2 linked regions of the Arabidopsis thaliana genome follow. The protein of the gene in region 2 interacts with the protein of the main gene of each other region in a pairwise test. Each region holds a gene or a part of one and is shown on either strand. Other genes may lie near its edges. The genes, in order: AT2G25730 and AT4G10470.

Region 1 (4,831 bases), on a different chromosome or scaffold from region 2:
AAACTCATAAATAGTAATTTGAAATACTAAGTGCCAAAGCAAACTCATCTATCCAGTGGAAAGATTTCAAAAAACATTTAGATTTATATAGTATGAAATTGATGGCAATGTCAGTGTCCTTCACAGTGACAAGGTTCATTATTTCAAAATACAGTACTAAAAGTTATTATGGCATAATGAAAAGTGCTGTATTATTCAGGAAAAAAGATGTATATTCTTTCATTCCTCCAAGAGCTCAGGACACCTAGAATACCAGAAGCTATCAAAAATTCATTTTATATGATCCAAGGAAACTTGCTAACTATAACAATGTGATAAACGAAACAGATATCTTTTAACCCAAAAAAAATATATATATATTTATCCAAAATTGACTTAAAATCCCACTGTACTCTTATTGTTGATTAGTACTCCTGATAAACCATAGTAACATATGCTACAATATCCTCGTGTTATCTATTCCTCTTCTTATTTAACTATACGTATTCCCTAGGAAGACAACATTCCTAATGTAAGCAAATATATCTAGCCAACATGATATATAATGAAATTTTCCACTGACAATACTAAATTTAATTATAGCTTAGAGAAATTTATTTGTACATATTCTTCCAGAACACTTTTCCTGTGGGGGATTAGTCTATGTAGAAAGGATGTTTAAGAATGTCCTACCCGAAGTGGACTTTGCGCTGAAAGCCTTTCCAATACAAGATTTTCAACAAAAGGATCCACCTCCGCATCATCATGCGCGGATGACACATTACCATGCATCAAGAAAGATGCCTTTGGAGTCCATGATTTACCAGAATTGACACAAGCAGCGAAAGATGCAAGTTCCAGCTGATAACATAACGTATCGCAGAGGTGTTCCACACAAGATTTCTGCCCAGATCATTGTGTCCTGTTAGACTTTCACTGTCATCTTCTAAAAATAATAGATCCAAATAGTAGTTTATGTGAAGGAAAAAAAAAGTTACTTCATCTGTCTGGTTTCCATAAAGAGAAGATTCTTCTAGCCGAAGTGCTTGCGAGTCACTAGTCCAAAGTAGCCGCATCAATTTTCTACGGGTTGCAGTTTTGCCCGGCAATAGATCCCAACCCATGGAGGCTACTAAAGGGCGAAGTCGGGGAAACAAAGTAAGAACCTGAAACATATGAGCAGAAGAGGGATTCAGATCCCAATAGAAAAAGGGAAGTCAAATGGGGTAGCAGCCAATCAACAATACTGCAGTAAGATAATGAGTACGAAGATATGTAACTTTATTCTATTCCACCTACATCATTAGCCTCCTGAAGCTTCTCTTTCTTTACAGAAGACAAAGCAGCACACATCACACACTCAAGAACATGTGATCCAGAAATACGAGCATAATGATACATATCTCTGAGACAAGAATTAATTGCCCTGCTCATAGGAGAACTTTTGTCCTCTATATTTCTCTCAGTTTTCAAGTCTACAAGATATCGCCGGAAACATTCAAGAGGGAGTGGAATTTGTTCATTGTCGAGAGATAAATGTAGTTGGCTATGTGGGAGGAGCATATCATCTTGAATACCCTGCCGAGGAAAACGTTGTAATCAGATAACAGCTTATAGTACAAGATAACTTACTCAAAGCCACACATACACATATTTCAATATCCACATATAAGCAAACCCATCAACTCAGACCAACCACTGAACTCAACTATCACCAGTGTAAATATTCACAAAGTATATAGAAGAAAAATGCCAACTGGCTATACCAGCTTCAAATTCCAGTATAATCAAGATTGACAAAACGGTTCTAAGTTCTTAATCGCAACAAATATAAGCTATACTACATTTACATATTAGCAGGTTCCGTAAACCACTTGTTCTTTTCTCAGTTCAGCAATATGTACCAAAAATAGTTGTATCTTACATGTGAAACCTTGTTTTTAATGAGAACGATCCATTATATCAGCTTTTATAAAAAAATTACCAACCTGGATCATCTGAACAAGATCTCCACAATTCGATGAGAGAGCTTCTTTATACATAAACAGCAAGTTCTGGCGCACCATGTGCCAGGAATCACCATATTCATCCTTTTTCTCCATAACTCTTGAAAGGAGAGCTTTTAGAACAGCACTATCATAAATAAGAAAACAGAATAATTGAAGTAAGTTCTCTATTCTTAAATATGCAAGAAACAAATGCTAAGGAACAGGAAGACAAATTGAAGCAGGAAATAGAACGGAATAAACTCATGTATTTGCGGAATGTATATAAATCAAGCACTTACTGATAGTTCTCTTTCTCTACTCCATAATCAAGGTGAAGATAACGAATGCGATCAGCTGCCCCGCGCTCATCACCTTCATCCAACTTTGTTTTCATAGCATCCAACTGTGCTAACTGAACATTCCTCTGTATCAAAGCAAACACATTGATGTTATCCAGCTCCGGAGAACCAATACATGTGGCCTCATTCATCTCCTTTCTCTGTTCTTCTCCCTGAACTTCCTCAACCAAACATGTACCGTAACTCTCGCAACCCGCAAGTTGCCTCTGAATATTACAACATAAAGCATCGAAAACATCAGAGTAATCCAATACTATACTCCTCAAAGACACAACTGCATCTTCCTCAATCTTATTACTTCCTTCACTACTACTAGTATCAACAACAAACTTCAACCTCTCAACACCTAACTCCAAAACACCTTGCAACACCCTTAAACAATTCCCTAATCCAGAATTTTCATCCTCACTCTCCTCATCTTCCTTAATCCTCTCTGTAACTCTATCGATCAAAACCTGAACCATCAACAAGAAATCGGCACGCAAACTTAGAGTTTCTGAATCAAATCCCCAAGGAGAAGTAGGATTTTCGAATCTCAGAAGCTCAATCGTGGAGAGGAACGAGAGAAGAGACGGGGAAGGACAAGAGCGTGACCAGAGGACATTATCGAATCTTCCAGCGTTGGAGACGATGGTTTGGAGAATGGTGAGTGCGAGGTCAGGGTTACGAACCCTGAGAGCGAGTAACGTAGCCTTCAATGGCTCGAATTGAGCCAGATGAAGGTGGTTCGCCGCGAGACGGGAGAGAATCTCCGTCTCTTTATCCATCGCCGTCACAAATTCCGATCACTGAGCTAATACATACCGATTAATCTGAAAATTATTTGCTCTGAAATTTTCCGTACAATCTGAAATATCTTGGCTGGATTTTTCAGATATTTTTTGTGAAGAATTTTTGGTCTGGAATCGTCAACTTAGCTGAGACGAGCAGAGCAGACCATTAAGGCTGGGACAGGGAAGCAAATGGGTTAACCCGATTGATTAAATTCGTTTCGGTTCTGACTTGTTAACCAATGGTTTTGCTTTTTATTTTATTTTTTGTCTTTGCTGACAAAAAAAGTGTGAAAAACAATTAAGATTTTAGACAAAAAAAAAAAACAAAAGCAATTAAGGTTCCAGTAGGTTTACATGTATAATGGCGGAATAATGTTTTCTTAGACTATCTACAATGGCTTATTGAAAAAATTTATTCAATAGTTGAATGATTACAATGGGGTATTGAATAAAGAAATGAATCCTATGTGGATTAAATAGTGTTGAATCTATTCAACAATGTTGAATCTTTAAAAATGGATCCTTCATTGCCACTTGTCATTAAATAATTGGAGACAGAAATTGTGGGGGAGAGTTAAATAAAGATAGGACATGTGTTGTTCTTTTATTTGCTACTGAAATTTCTTATATTTTATTTTCCTCTGAATTATTGGAGATCAATTATCTTATAAAATATTTATTTGTTTTAAATTATTTTTATACTAAAATTCATCATTTTCCAAACTTTATAAATAGAGACTTGTTTCATTTTATTTGGACACAGAAAAAATTACATCTATTTTCACTAAAAAAAATCCATTAGCCGATAAAACATAAAAGAAAACATCCCAACAATAACTCATTTAACACCCAAAATTCTATTAATTATCCATTTAAAACATAAAAGAAAAGAAAAATAATGAAAAAAAAATTTGTGGGGTAGGGTGTTGAATTTTATTAAACAAACCATTGTAGAGTATAAAATTTGAGTGGGTATTGAATTATTATGTGGAAGAGAGAGGAAATGATGTGGAAGAAAGAGAAGATGATGTGGAGGATGTTGAATCGAAAAACCATTGTTGATAGATTATGCGAATATGCAAAAGTTTTACCAATTAAGAAAATATGCATAATGTTTACCGAAACATCAAAACACAAAATAAATGAGTATATAATTGCTGAATTTATAATGCGATTTTTTATTTTACGAATTTCAGTATGCGAATTTTTTTATTCTTCTACTTTTTTTTATGCGAATTCTTCTACTTACGTTATTATGTGATGTTATCAATACGAACCTAAACTTTGGAGGCTCATTTCCACAGTCATCTTCATGGAGAAGACGTGCATCAATAGGCTCTAATGTAAGTCCAAGTACTGAAGATGATATCACTTCGGTAAGTCCCACGGTACTTTGATGATTGGTGAATCATCAAAGCTCAAATTCCATCATGAATAACATAGATAGCTAGAAAAAAACAAAAGGTTCACGATGTAAAGAAATAAGATACTCTGAAATCTCCCAAGAAAAAGTAGTATCACTCTATTAACCTTCGTCAAGAAGTTTTAGGATCCTACATTTGGTAATTGCAGGTTAAGAAAGGGGTGTGGAATAATAATCTGGAACAACTTTTAGCTTTTGTTTTTAATTCTCTGTTTCTAATTTATGGTTTGTTTCGCTTAGATTTGTCTAATAGTTCTTTATAAAATGTTTTCCCTTGTGTCTGTTTTTACTAGCTTTGTTGTTGTAACT
Region 2 (4,421 bases):
TGTTGTTGTTGTTTATGTGAAGGAGCTGGTGAGAATGAGGCTTCCAAGCAAAGTAGAAGCGAGAAGAAAAGCCGAAAGGCGATGCTGAAACTCGGAATGAAACCTGTTACTGATGTTAGCAGAGTGACTATCAAGAGATCAAAGAATGTAAGTAATGACCTAATTGACTGTATTCCATTATTGTGTAGCGATGTTTGATTCTGTATGTTATTGTATCATTTAGGTGTTGTTTGTCATCTCGAAGCCGGATGTGTTCAAGAGTCCGAACTCTGAGACCTATGTGATATTCGGTGAGGCTAAGATTGATGACATGAGCTCTCAGCTACAAGCACAAGCTGCTCAGAGGTTCAAGATGCCTGACGTTGCGTCTATGATCCCCAACACTGATGGTTCTGAAGCAGCCACGGTTGCACAAGAGGAGGAAGACGATGAAGATGTTGATGAGACTGGTGTTGAAGCCAAGGACATTGATCTTGTGATGACTCAAGCCGGTGTCTCGAGGCCCAAGGCTGTTAAGGCTCTTAAAGAGAGTAACGGAGATATTGTTTCCGCCATTATGGAACTCACTACATAGGTTTTAGTGAGTTGCAAAAGACTTGTGATGGTTCGTCTTTGTTGCTTCATTTCTGATTCGGTTAGCAATTTTCTCGAACATCTCTGTTTCTCCACTTTTTTGAGGCTATTTCTTTTTACCTTTCTCTGAGCCATAAACAATGTTGCTTCACATCTATAATTTGAGACGTTTATGTCTAGTGTTGTTAACTCTTTAGCAAGAAAGATTGATGAGTAATCTCTTTACATATATTCATTGAAATGTAGCTTCAAAATACAAATTTGGTTCAAGAAACAAAGCTAGATTTGTGTATAAAGTATTTCAAGTTTCTACAACACAAAATACAGATTCAAGTCTTTGTCTAGAATTGACATGAGTGTCCCTCTTTTCGACCTACACATACATTTGCTAGCAAAACTTCTCTAGCTAGTAACACCGCCTCGATTCAGCCGCTTGAATTTCTACACGCTAACCTGCAAAATCGAAAGCAAACGCTCAATAGGACCTCATAGAAAGAGAAATCAATCTTTGACATTGTTGCTATGAAGTAAAAAAGTTAGGATGATCTGATGTCACCTTATATAACTCTTCACTAATTGCTCAAGATCTTGCTTTTGAAAGAAATGTTTCATGTTCCATCAACGATCTCTCTGCCTTAGCCTTGAGCCATAAGCTTTTATAAAAACACACCTCTGGGTTGATTTGCTCTTCTGTTTGATGATGATTTCTTATAACCTGCACATTGTGATAACGATGGTCTACAGGCTTTAAAACCGAACAAGAATGCTTCGATGATCCTTAAAAGTAGTCAAGAGAACATACCTTACGCATATTAGGCAACGAATATAAATCACATGAACTATGTACAGCACTTGCATAATCCCCACTATGCTCCTGAACTCTGTTATTGATATAGGAGTTGAGATTCTGCACAGTACAGTTGATGAGATCAAGATACTGCTCATTTGGTAAATCCGAAGTTTCTGAACTGTGTACATGTGTTAGCAACTCTGACAATCCATGAATCGTCGTAAGTAGTTTCTTAACATCCACTTTTTGAGATGGTGATGATGTGGAACAGCCATGTCTATCACCAAAGTCATTTGCAGCTTGGTTTACCTCACAGCCATATACATTTTGTTTATGATCTGCTAGTGAGAACCGAGGAGCCAGAGGATTTAGCTTCTTCCGACCATGAGACTTGTTGCTGGACCTATCCAATCTTGTATTAGAGTATCTATTCCTTAAACTGCGGTCGACCACTAAAGAATGTGTCCCAACAACCTTAAAAGTATTAAGCAACATACTGTCTGAAGAACTTACACCAGAAGTTGAGCCAACATTTGTCTCCATAGTTAACATGTGATCTGCTGCACCGTGCTTCTCACTTAGTTTTGCACAAGCAGGAACAAAAACAGGAGCTAACGGATCCAGCTTTTTAGACTTTTGGAACTCGTTGCTAATATCTAACATACTCATAGTGTTGGAAACACTATCTTGAGATACTAAACCCAAACTCTCATCTGCATCATGGATCAGGACGCCTATTCTAGTGTTTTGGTTGGAACTGTTTACTTCAATTTCTCTCCCATTCTTGTTTAGGTTCTTCTTAGCATTGAATGGTAGAAACTGAGGTGCCAAAGGATTCAATTCTTTCCCTACACAAGTCCAAATAAATCATTCACAAGTGTCATAGAAGAGCACATTACAGTAAATTCTCTCCTAAGGGATTCAAGAAACTCTTACACAACACATAACAAGAACAAAACCATAACATTTCAAGAAAGACAAAAAAAAAAAAAAACCTTTAGGAACAGTGGTCGCATCATTATCATCATTGGGACTAATCTTGTGGTCTTCGGATGTTAAGAATGAGAAATCGAAAGTGAAATCACTCCATAAAGAATCTTCAGGATCAGATTCAGAAGCAACGAAAGAAGAAGATAAGGAAGAAGAACTTATAGGAAAAGGAGATAGACTACTACGATCACATTGCTTCATGTTTTCTTCTCTATGGATTCGAAATTTTGTTTGTGGATAGAAAGAAAGAAGGGAAGGGATTTTGCAGAGACGACGAGCTTCATCAACCTTGTCCTACCCTTTTCACTGTGCTATCTGTGATTAGTGATTACCAATGTTTTCTAAACCAAACTCCGACAGTAAACCGGACTACATTTCGGTTCAACCGGATTCGACCATTGCTTGATTGATTATAATTTATTTAATGTAACTTATGTAGTTTTATAAAAGTAAAACTAATTATACCATATTTAACAAAAATATAAAATCATTTCTTTTTGTTCAAACTAAAATATTAAGTTTAACAATATTACAATAATAATGAAGTGATTATTTATTTTTTACTATAACCGAATAAAATAGTATAAAGATAATGATCGGTCACCAATGATAAAAATAAACTAATTAAACATCTTTAAGTCAATACAAATAATTTCTATCAAGCTGATGACTTACTTACTTTCTTTCAAGAAAATTGATTCAATAATTAGACTAACCCGAAAACGTTTTACTTTAAAAAGATATTGTACTCAAAATTAAAATTGAAAGTCTTCATAAAATGTTTCATGAGAGACCAAAAATTTCATATCTTACATAATATTATTGCAAAACACATTTGAGGGAACTAAAAATTCAGAAAATACAAATAAATAATTAACTTAAATGGAGATCAAACTCATTACACATCGAAAACGATATATAGAACAAAAACATATTAGTGTTGCACAAAAAAAAACATATTAAAAACTGAAAAACAACAACCATGAAATGACATTTGCAAAAGTGAATTAAAGATAAATATAAGCAATATGACATTTAACCACTATAAAATGACGTTTCTAATACAAGTAGGGAACACTGGACTTCTCTTATTCTTTTATAGTATTACTAGTACAATATGATAATAATTACAGTTTACTTCTCCACAAGTTTTAAGTCATTACGTATGTAGTTTACATGAGACGGCATGCATTAACGTTATCGTCATTGAACATATTACTAACCCTGTCGTCTCCACGAGAACCTACGGGGATATTACCATGTTGTTCTGTACCATTGTAGCCATGTCTATAATAGTTATAGCTCTCTTTAAACTCTTTCGAAGGATCTACGAAATAGTTTTGAGTAGATGTGAAGTAAAGTGGAGGTTCAGGGTATGGCGAAAACTCAGCTCTCTTCCCCGCTCGCCTCACGGCTTTGAGTACTTTGTTTCTGTCAACATAACCCACCACTCTCACTCTTCCTAACTCTTTATCCACCTCCACTGAGTCAACTCCTAAAATTTAATCAAATTCATTACATCTAGTCTCTTTTTTCGTTCATTACACTAATCTTGTCTTTAAATTTTAAAGCAAAGCAATTAGTTGTTACCTCGGAGTTTGGAGATCGCGTTCCTAACGATCCTGACGCAACCAGTACAACACATTCTTACCTTCAGCTCAACCGTCTAGTAGTCCACGAGCCACGAATGTCAAACTCAAAAACTTTAGTTTTCTTATGAGAACTTTGGATATAAATAAAAAAAGTAGTATGGTATATACTATTATCAAAATGATCATTAGTAAATTATTAGCACTTTGAAAACTAGATGATTGTGTAGGAATTGACATTTAAATCGAGATAATTTAATCATGGCTAGTGTAAAAGGGAAGGTAGAGAAATATGTGGAAGGATTCCAAGTGTGGTTCGCATCGATATAACACCAAGGATATAAAACTTTATTCTATATGCTAAGAAAATTTTGCATTCACATGTATAAACGTTTATTTTTTCTTTGAATATAACTTAACACTAAATTCAAAAAAAATAAAATATAAACCAATCGGTTCTGCAAATATCAGCTTTTCAA

What was found.
Region 1: the proteins of AT4G10470 (region 2) and AT2G25730 interact in a two-hybrid assay, tested with the Arabidopsis thaliana proteins (one large-scale study listed by BioGRID).

What each region holds. Positions count from the first base shown.
Region 1 is NC_003071.7:10,969,637-10,974,467, forward strand, and holds the start of AT2G25730 (zinc finger FYVE domain protein), read right to left. Parts: upstream 3,316-4,831; 5' UTR 3,094-3,315; coding exon 2,267-3,093; intron 2,113-2,266; coding exon 1,968-2,112; intron 1,558-1,967; coding exon 1,279-1,557; intron 1,146-1,278; coding exon 978-1,145; intron 883-977; coding exon 673-882; intron 1-672.
Region 2 is NC_003075.7:6,474,242-6,478,662, reverse strand, and holds AT4G10470 (uncharacterized protein), read right to left. Parts: upstream 2,680-4,421; 5' UTR 2,555-2,679; coding exon 2,359-2,554; intron 2,212-2,358; coding exon 1,376-2,211; intron 1,289-1,375; coding exon 1,154-1,288; 3' UTR 1,130-1,153; intron 1,027-1,129; 3' UTR 780-1,026; downstream 1-779. Other genes in the region: AT4G10480 (Nascent polypeptide-associated complex (NAC), alpha subunit family protein), read left to right, coding at 23-147, 224-574; AT4G10465 (Heavy metal transport/detoxification superfamily protein), read right to left, coding at 3,526-3,848, 3,944-4,019.